Oryzias latipes: one gene and its partner. The main gene of each other region encodes a partner of the protein of the gene in region 2 in a complex. Links are inferred from orthologs where the notes say so. Each region holds a gene or a part of one and is shown on either strand. Other genes may lie near its edges.

The links. Proteins that work in one complex are often made in the same cells at the same time.
Region 1: the proteins of anks6 (region 2) and anks3 are in contact, whole or in part, in a crystal structure (PDB 4NL9), measured with the Homo sapiens proteins. The link is inferred for Oryzias latipes from reciprocal best matches to the Homo sapiens genes ANKS6 and ANKS3. Residues at the interface, in NP_775822.3 of Homo sapiens: Glu796, Gln797, Glu798, Val799, Asp800, Glu802, Ala803, Thr806, Leu807, Asp811, Glu814, Leu815; in NP_597707.1 of Homo sapiens: Lys441, Tyr442, Thr470, Leu471, Phe472, Gly473, Pro474, Arg476, Lys477, Arg484.

The regions. Positions count from the first base shown.
Region 1 is NC_019877.2:9,256,255-9,261,341, forward strand, and holds the start of anks3 (ankyrin repeat and SAM domain-containing protein 3), read right to left. Parts: upstream 3,308-5,087; 5' UTR 3,198-3,307; intron 3,160-3,197; exon of another isoform or gene 3,067-3,159; intron 2,999-3,066; 5' UTR 2,987-2,998; coding exon 2,820-2,986; intron 2,745-2,819; coding exon 2,546-2,744; intron 2,467-2,545; coding exon 2,345-2,466; intron 1,932-2,344; coding exon 1,850-1,931; intron 1,707-1,849; coding exon 1,589-1,706; intron 1,507-1,588; coding exon 1,357-1,506; intron 1,241-1,356; coding exon 1,124-1,240; intron 1,039-1,123; coding exon 929-1,038; intron 853-928; coding exon 691-852; intron 610-690; coding exon 485-609; intron 394-484; coding exon 252-393; intron 174-251; coding exon 1-173. Other genes in the region: c19h8orf33 (UPF0488 protein C8orf33 homolog), read right to left, coding at 4,197-4,408, 4,514-4,660. UniProt on the Homo sapiens protein: May be involved in vasopressin signaling in the kidney.
Region 2 is NC_019878.2:10,676,831-10,681,952, forward strand, and holds the start of anks6 (ankyrin repeat and SAM domain-containing protein 6), read right to left. Parts: upstream 3,557-5,122; 5' UTR 3,245-3,556; coding exon 2,916-3,244; intron 1,606-2,915; coding exon 1,393-1,605; intron 1,308-1,392; coding exon 1,112-1,307; intron 476-1,111; coding exon 325-475; intron 1-324. Other genes in the region: rps20 (40S ribosomal protein S20), read left to right, coding at 4,509-4,511, 5,033-5,122.

The DNA.
Region 1 (5,087 bases), on a different chromosome or scaffold from region 2:
CTCGCCTTTGTCAGGGTTGCGTTTGCATCCTGGGCCAGCCGGTGGTTCTCCACTAACTCGGTGTGGACCCTCTTCCACGCCATTTTGTCCTCCATCAGGCATCCCTCCATCACTGTACGCAGCTTTTTCTCCTGAGACACCTGACTCTGCAGGCTCTCTGCCTCCTCACAGCGCTACACAGGCGGAATTGGAGAAAAGCTTTCACAGAGGCGTCACCAAAAATCCCATCCTTGGATTTGGATGATGGATACCTTATGCAGCTGAATGGCCATTTCTTGCATCTCCGCCTCAAGCTGGTCAGCATAAGCTTGTTCCAGGGCGTCACTTGGGGGTCGAGCGTTGCTGTGCCACCTCGCAATGGCTGAAGTCATCTTACGTTTGGGTCCAAACAGCCTAAAGAGCATGAGCGGTGGAAGAACGGCGCCAAGTATGGATCAAAACATTATCCTGTCCGGATTGAAAGGATGAAAGTCGGGCATCTTACGTAATCCCTATTTCTTTAAGGTCATTTTCTGTCAGGGTGAGAAATATCCGCAGGTCGATGTCCTCTTTTTCAAGCAGCGGGAGGTATTTGGAAAAGCCGATCTGCTCCAGGAAATCCGCCAGGTCCTACATAATAGACAGAATTTATTTACACATCCGCATAGACAAAAAAAAAGGACAGAAAAATGAAGGCAAAGCTAAACTTGCCTTTGGGCCGTTGTAGGATGGAGGTGGAGCAGCACGTGTGCATTTGCAGTTGCCCGACCTGCTGGGAGGACCAGCACCAGTGTTTCCAAGACGATTCTTTCCTTTCGAGTGATGACTCTTTGCAGCTCTGCGAGAGCTGCTCCTTTTGCACGGATCAGAGTCCTGAAAACAGAACATGTGCAGTGACTACACGCAGAAGAGAAGCACATACAGAAGACGTTTATTTCAAAAATGTCACCTCATTACTCTCCAAGGAGCCTTCACAGTTGATCACATGAGGCAGGCCTTCACTGCTGCTGCTGCTGCTCCTCATGGTGGGCAGGTTGTTCTCAAAGAACGGGCTGTCATCTGCAGAGGTTACACCAAAAAACTCTTAACAATTTAAAAAAAAATAGGAAACCATGCTGTTATTCCTGGTAGACGGGTGTTTTACCTCTGCTACTGTGGCTCTGGCCGTCCAGCTCGTTGATTGGTGAAGTCACATCGCGATGGCAGAGGCCTTCACTCTGCTCACCCGGAAACATGTAGCCTGGCGCTACGGCTGAAGGCTCTGCCAGGAGAAAAAATTAGGATTGACAAAAGAATGAAGCCGTTTGCTGAACCATTTCCGATAAAAAAATAAAAAACAAATGGGGAAGCGTTCTGCAATAATTTCTTAGACTTTACCAGCAAGCTTGCTTGTGCCACCCACTCTAAACTTGGCGATGGCCTGGGGCCCATCGTGGATGCTGACACCTTTAGCTTGGCTTCGACTCGGTCGAATTCTCGGCGGACCGCCGTCAGAGTCCTCCGAGGAGCTGAGGTCTTCAAGGTGTCCTGATTAATATATGCAACAAAAAAAAAAGCTGTGCAATCCAAAACTTTGGGAATATAAACTAAAATGTTCTCCAAACAGTACCTAGTCTCATTCTTGGCAAACGTGAGTCAATGAGACTGACAATCTTGGTATAACCATAAATTGCGGCGAGGGCACGGGCCGTCTCTCCTTTCGCGTTTCGGTCATCAACTTTAACTTTCTGTAAATAAATTAGCTGGTCATGATGTGGGACAAGGCTCACTGTGATTCCATGTTCAATGTACGGAGTGTCTTATTTTGTTGGGTAAAACCCATAAAAATAATGGGGAATAAATGGTCTCAGCCACTAGAAGATGTACTCACATGGTCCAGCAAGTACTGAACAATGATTTCGTGTCCAGAAGCTGCAGCCTCCATCAGGGGAGTGAACCCTGATCCTGGCTCTCTGGAGGAAGAAAAAGGGAAATCTAAACTTTAAAGTCGCACTCCAGTTATCTTGAATGTTCCCAGTGGTCTTTTAATTATGATGATGCCGTTTTAAGACAAAATAAAAAAAACCTTCATCGTTTTCTAGGACATAGTTTCTGCAGAGCGACAGTGGTTCATTTGAAATTTGCCTCAGAGCTGTTGGATCAATTTGTCTGCAAGTGAATGCATCAGAATGGAGCAGAGCAGGGAGCTTGTGGGCTGCCCAGTAAAAAATATAATCATTTTTTCAACAATACTATTCATATGCTTCTGATTCAGCGATTTAAATTTAAATATCCAGAAATGCAAATTTTAGCTTAATTTTCCTTATATGTCCTCCATCATCGGAAAAATGCCACAAGAACATGTTAAAAACACACAGATACCTACTTCACATTGGCATCTGCATTGTGATCCAGCAGGAACTTGACCATCTGTTGATGACCTGTGCTTGTACAGTGAAACAGAGCCGTCCAGCCCCGAGAGTCTTTCAGCTCCAACTCAGCGCCGTGCTTTTAGATTGAAGGAGCCGTCAATCAATGAGGAAGCAGCTGGTAGCTTCAAAGGAACGGACGGAGTGGGGTTTCTTACCTGAAGCAAGACGTCTGCAATGCTCTCGTTCCCACAGCTGGCTGCCAGCATCAGGGAGGTTAGTCCTGTGGAGGTGGTGGAGTTGACGTTCACACCCGCCTCCAGCAGGAGATTCACGATGTTGTCATGGCCGATGTAGGCGGCATACATGAGCGGGGTCCATCCTCCGATGTTCTTTGCGTCCAGGTTCACCTCACGCCTTGAAACAACGCGTGAACTGTTAGGAAGTACGCGAGCTCAACCGGTATATAAGTAAAAATAAGGGGGGGCGTACGTTTGAATGCATTCAGCCACCACCCCGTACTGTCCGATGGAGCAGGCGGTGTGAAGGTCCAGAGGAACATTCAGCTCCTCCGATCGCACCAGGGGGTCACCAAGCCACAGGGAGAGGCTGGCCCCCAGCTGTTCCGACTCACTGGATTCATCACTTAACTCCGACATTTTCGTTCGTGCCTGAAATGAAGTAAAAACACGAAAACGTGGTGCTTTCCCTACGAAAACTAAATCTGTCCCCAACTTACTTTCTTTCTTCTTTGAGCTAAACTAGCATGGCGAAAAGGCCGTTACTCAATGCAAAATTATGTTATGACAATTTTAATGAAAAGAAGAAATCAATACATAAAAATCAACGTATCTTGAAATAAAAACTTACAGTCAGGAGTTGAATTAAGGCATCTGGAACCCCAAACTTTCTTTGTTTTGTATGTTACATCAAATCAGGCTCGTGCAGAAACGAGCCCCGCCTTTTCCGGTTAAAAAGCGGGGAAAACTTTTACTGGAAATTATTTTCGTCATAAAATTAAAAGAAAACATTTTTTTTATATATTTTGAAAAAAAGTATTAAATGTTTTACCTCAAAATAATGAAAGAAATTTAAAAAAACAGTTTTAAAAGTCGGACCCAAAATCCACAATTATTAAAACAAATAATTATTTAAAACAAAAAAGTAGTATTTTACCGCTTCATAAAGCTCTGTCAATCAACCTTTTTTCACTCCCCGTTGCAGACTTCAACAGCTTAGTTACAATTTCACCAACACCCTCTCTCTGCTCAAAGTTTTTTTTAACTATACCAAATGCTTAAAAGGAAAGCAACACAAAAAAACTACTTAAAACATAAATTCTTCATATGAATACTAATTTCTTCTAGCTTATGTCTGTGCCAAATAAAGAAACTCAGAAAAATAAATTGAAACACTTTTATTTTGAAATAAAGAACTTCAAAATAACAATGAAAACATTTGAATGTTCAGTTTCATATTTGTACACTACACAATTTTACTATGTCACCTGATTTAAGGATTTAATCACAAGACATCCTTAAATCAGGTGACTCATGCATTGAGTCACCTGATTTAAGGATGTCTTGTGATGTGACAATGCTTAAGTCACCTCATAAGACATCCTTAAATTAGTTTTTTTCTTTAGATAGGTTCAACAAAACAACAAAGTAGATATTAAGTTAGAGCAAACTCCTGCTCTGATATGCTAAATGTATTTACTTTGTAATTTTCTTGCATTTTGACAAAAATATCTTGAGGCAAGCTTTTCTTGATAAAAAATATCCTGAGGAAAGCTTTACTGTTTGGGTGTTACATAACAAGAGTTTTGAGAAAAGTCACAGAGTGCAAAACAAAAAGAAAAAAAAAATATCAGAAAAAATTGAAACAAAATTCCTCCTTTGAAGGAACAAAGAGAAAAGATGACGTCTCTGTGTGACACTGTGGTGTTGCATCATCCTGGCCTTCACGCTGATGCAGGTTCTCATCTGTTGACAGTTTCTGTGTTTTGACTCCTGCTCTTCTATGGAAAACAGATTTCTTTGGGGCCTCTGATGCAACTTTGACCTGAGCTGATGCAATCTCTATTGTAAACAAAACAAAAAAAACCAAACCATCACTTAACAATGCATCTGTGACATAACTTGTCACATAAACAACTTTTACTCTTTGCGTAACATTCAACTCACCTCCCTGAATGAGCTTGAACTGCCTTGTCCTCTCTTCCTCCATTTTTTTCCTGTAGTCTCCAGTCATGGCTCTCATCACCTGCCTCTTTTTAGCCAGAGGAGCTTTAGAGCTGCGCAGAGTTTTCAGGGCGCGAGATGCTTCTTCTTCTGCAGAGAGTAAAGACATAAAATCTCTAAGAAATGTAGGTGATGACCAGACCAAGAAGTATTAAAAGTTAACCAGCAGCAACTGAGTTGCTTAGTACTTCATGCTGTTTTTGATCACCTTAATAATTTCGCTAAATTTTCCTTGATTTCTTTTTGTAATTTGGTATGAGATTTGGTTTTATCTCACTATGAAGTTTTTGCCTTTGTTTTCAGAGTGCGTATGAGGCACTAGATTATTCATTTTATACATTTCCATTTTTGAATTTGTTCCCCTGTTTTCCCTTTCATTCTTCTTCTTATTTGTTTTCATTTATTATCCATGCTTGTTGTTTCTGTCATTGTAATCTGTTCCATTCATTTATTTTTCTTTTTTCAGATGACGTTTTAAGTAATATCTTCCTGCCTTAGAAATAGCTAAAAAAAAACA
Region 2 (5,122 bases):
CAAAGTGAGACCACAAACGTATATCGAGGCATCTGATTGGTCAGTTTCTAACTTATAGAACTTGCAATAAAGAAAAGGCATCATAATAAAAAACTAGGATTATAAAGAACAAATTAAATGAAGGTAGCTGTGCCAGAATGGTTATTCTAACAAATAGAATAACTGAGTAATTGTTGTTTTTCAAGCTTTTTGATGCAGAAAACTTCAAAATCCGCTTTTTTGAGCTTTAGGAAAGTTAATTTAGATTAAGATATTGAGTTAAAAACCTGTTAGGAGGGATATTCTTGAATCTGTGCTTTAAAAACAGTTGAGAGGAACCTGCACCTGTCTGAGGTCTGACAGTGGTGATGGAGTCCAGATAGGCCTTGATGTCCCTCTGTTTTAACTGCATGGCGAGCTCAAAGGCAGTCTTGGACAGAACGTTGATCCGGTCCGGGTCGGCTCCGTGCTCCACCAGCTGCTGAGCCACAGCCACCTTCAGAACACACAGCAGCACGTCTTTTTACAATGTACCCCAATCACCAGAACCTGATTTTAAAGGCCCACTCCAATGACATTTTTCTTCTGGGGTTTTTAACATGTTCTTGTGGCATTTTCCTGACGTATATAAAGAAAATTAAGCTTAAAATAACATTTTGGGGGTTTTCTTTATTTAAATCCTTGTGAATTGACAAAAAAAATGCAATTTGTAAAAGAACATCTTTGTGATGTGGGGGCACAAGCTTCCTGCTCCACTCCATTCTAATGAATCCCCTTGTAGACAAATAACAAACAGTATGGCTGGATAGCCCCAATTGCTGCACCGCTAAAGCTAGACTGTGGTTGTGAGGGGCTGTAAGCTAGCGGGAGGTGTAACGGAGCTCTCAGCTCTGGATGACGGGAAGAAGGGGCGGGAGTGCTCTGTGGCAACAGTCCTGCCCACCAATCAGAGGTGAATTTCAAATGAACTCCCACTGCTCTGCAGAAACTATGTCCTAGAAATCGACACAGATTTGGGGGTTTTGTCTAAAAAGGGCAGAATCGTAATTAAAAGACCAATAGGATCAGTTTTATAATAGATTAAATAAAGATCGGAGTGTGTCTTTAACAACCATGCATCCTCTGGCTTCACCTTTCCACTCAACGTGGCTAACATCAGTGGCCCCCAGCCCGTTGCCTTCTGGGAAAAGTTGACATCAGAGCCAAATTCTAGCAGCAAATGCACAGTGGCTTCGTGGCCGTGCTGCGACGCCACCATCAGCGCTGTGATGTCCATGAACTCTCTGCCACCTCCAGGACAGCCCTCCCCAGCTCCGAAGCTCACCGTGCTGCAGGGAGATGGGCACCCAAAGGTGAAACAAAGCAACAGAAAGCACACCGCTTCCAAAAAGCTTCAACGAAACAAAGAGGGACCTGTTGTTGTTGTTGCCGTTGGAGGCTTCGTCTGCCACAGGAGCGAGGTGATCATAGTCATCAACGAAGGCGCCGCTTTCCAGGAGCAGTTTGACCACATGAACGTGGCCCCCGCGGGCCGCCATGGTCAGAACACTGGCTCCCAGCCGGTTCCGCCCGTTGATCTCTGCCCCGTTTTCCAGCAGAATGTGGGCCACAGGCAGGTGACCAAACCTGTGAGAGAAACAAGCAATCTAACCATCTAATGTGGATTCAAGCAAAGAAACAAAATATTTCTATTTATACAGAGCTTTTCAAATAATTTAGAATATCATGGAATAATTTATTAATTTCTATAATTCTATTTAAAAAAAAAAAACTTTTATAGAATGTATTTTCAGGTTTAATTGGTTTCAAGTATTTGTTTGTTTGTCTTTACATAAATTGGGGTTCCAGCTCATAAACCCCAGACAAACAAATGAGAATACTGTGGAGAAATCTGTCCTGATTTTTCAGAGCATGAATGCTTTAAAGCGAGTTTCTCCCACACAGGTTTCCCACAGGTCATTAAATTGGTTCAGTTTGGTTCGATGGGGGAGAAGACTTGATAACTAGCCAGAAGGCCATATTTGATCCACTCCATAGTCTGGGTAAGCCTCAAACGTTCCTAGTTTAGGGAGGCTGGCTGTTCACAGAGGTCCGTGTCCAAGCAGATCAATGGAAAGTCCAATCCAAGGACAAAATGTGAGAGGAGAGAATGCAAACAAAGACAACCTCGGGCTTCAGCCGATTATCAAAGGGACAAGATTATTGGGGTGAATACGTTTAAAAAGACTGGAATGAGGTGGAAGAACAGCTTCAAAAAACACCACCTTCAGATGCATCAACAGACGGGTTACAACTGTCGGGTTCCTCGGGTCAAACCCCTTCTGAGCCCGTGCAAACAGAGGAAACATCCCAACTGGGCCAAAGAGAAGAAGAACTGGACTGTTGACTTAGTTGGCTAAGTGGAGGAAGACTGATGAAGAGCAGAACCCTATATGCTTGAGGTCCAGTGTAAAATCTCCACAGTTAGTCATGATGTCAGGTACGAATACAATGCACTGGTGTTGGTAAACTCTGTTTTCTTCAATTCCTGCAGCAGATTATCAGAATGTTCTATAGGACTTGATATGATTCTCTTCTGCTGAGGATCTGGATGGAGATGCAGGACCTGCCCCATGTTATTGAAGTATTGAAGACGGACATTTCATTTTGAAAATACTTGATTTTGATTGATTTGATTGTAATCTCTGTGTTTATCTTTTATGCAAAAACTGAGAAGTAAACAGTGATTTTTTTCTTCAGATTCTTTTTTTTAATTATAATTACTTTTGTTTTATAAGTAAAAAATAAAAAGAACATTTGAGTTAGAATAAAACTGATTACATGCTTTTATCAGATAATAAACAAATCAGACGTTTAGGTCGCAGAGGATTCTGGGAAAGTCCTCATTGAAAATGTAGGATGACATGAAGCGGGGACTCGGGTTCGTCTCTCCTCACCTCGCCGCCTGCATCAGCGGCGTCCAGCCGTAGTTGTTGCGGCTGTCCACTGAAGCGCCCTTCCGCAGCAAGAACCGGACTAGGTTTTCGTGGCCGCTGGCCGCCGCGAACTGCAGGGCGGTGTTCCCCTCCTCGTCCGTGCAGTCCACCGGTACCAGAGACAACATGTCCGCAGCGGCACACTCCGACCCCGCTTCCGACCGCAGCCTGCTCTGCCGCCCGGACTCCTTGGAGGCTCCGGGTTCCAGGATACTCCGAGCCGTTTCATAGTCCCCATCATCACAGGCACGAAAGAGAAGCAGAGAATGAGCGGGGACGCCGAAATTCATGCCTGTCCTTGATGTTATTCCGCCTCAAATTAACTTCAAATTGTTTCATAAGCGACAATACGATGCAAAACGTCCCCGTTACTTGGCCTTATTTTAGAAATCTTGACTCACAGCTAACTTTACTGCTGTGAGTTAACTTTATTGTAAAAATCTCTTGTTTTCGCCCCAAAAGTTACTTTGACTAATTTCTTTTTAACCGCTGCCAACATCTTAATCCAAAACGACTTTCTTAAAACCCACCGGTCTGGTACTGCCCGGTTCCGTTACTTCTTGCTTAAGATTCTTACTCCTATAAAAACTTTCACAACATAAACTTGACTTCCGCTTTCAAAATAAAGATACATAAACGCTTCTATTCAAAAATCTCATATTTTACCCCTTTCTGGCTGCTTGCAAAAGAATTACCTATAACAATATCAATATTTTTGTTAAATATTTTGTAAAAGCAATCATTTAACTCATCCTCCCTTCCAAAATTGAGCATAATACATTTTTAAAAAGCACAAAAAGTTTATATTATTTTGAAAAGAACAAACGGAAGTGTATTATTTTTTTCTTCAAATGTCTTTATGTATTTTGTTATAAAAATTGATAAACATACTTGTAAATAAATATTAAAGACGAATAATTTTTTCTATTTAGAGATGTTTTAGCACGGCTAATAATTGTATCCTTACAATGGAATTCATGCGATTTCCTTGTCATATATTTATTTTAAATAACTTCTTTTTAACCTAATTTTCCCTTGTTACTTGTTATTTTTTAAAGTTAACTACAAGACGTTTTCATTTGTTTAAAAATCAAACCCTTAAAAAATTAAGCCATTTAACCGGGGAAAGCCTTGTCAAATTTAAGACATTTAAGATACTAAAATATTTGCAGAAGTATCTAAATTATTAGCTGTTATATCCTTTTTTAAATCATAATAATATTAAATAGTGTGATACGCGGGTATATAAACAATTTCAGTTTTTTTGTTTGCGCATCCCTGCACTTGTAGTCGCTCTGGTTCCCTCTTGTGGTAAATCCAACAACCTTGTGATTTAAAGGCCATGTTTCGACACTAGATGTCGCCCTTGAGTTTTGGGAGTTCTAAAACTACAGACGAATAAGAAACAGAGGACCCGGATGCAGGGTACATCAACCGGAAACTAGTTCGAATTCGCCCTTTTCCCTCGAAGCTAACCACGTTGTTGGTGTCTGTTCCTGGCTCACCGCTGTTCGCTTGAATTTCTTCCGAATAAGTCGGTCAGGAATACATAAAATGGTGCGTCCGTTTACGTTTCATTTAATAAAGACGTATTTTAATGCAGATTGGTTTCTATAATGATGATAGTTGGAATTAAATTAGTTTTTTAAAAACCCAAACTGCTAGCATAAGCCAGGAGCGCCTTTTTCAGGCTCATCATCGTTAGTCCTTAAACTTAAACATAGCAAATATGAAGACAATTAATATTTTATCTATCTACAGATCATGTACAGTTATTTTGTCTCTGGAGCACATGAACATTTTTGAATAATTATTTTGAGGTCAACGTACCTACGCTTAATTCTTATAGTTGGTCCCTTGTTGAGCAGTAAACGACATTTGTGTAAAAGCAAAACTACGTTAGCGTTTAACTTTCATTTTGTATATTCTAAGGTAAATGTATTAATTTAAATTATTATAGCCATAAAACTATACTAGAAACACCAAGACATCACATGCCTCCTTATGATTTCGTTTTATGCTTCATGCTTTGATTGAAGCCAGTTGTTCGCTGTGTTTACGTGTCAATTGGTTTGCAGGCTTTCAAGGACACTGGCAAAGCACCTGTTGAGTCAGAAGTTGCCATCCATCGCATCCGCATCACCCTCACCAGCCGCAATGTTAAATCT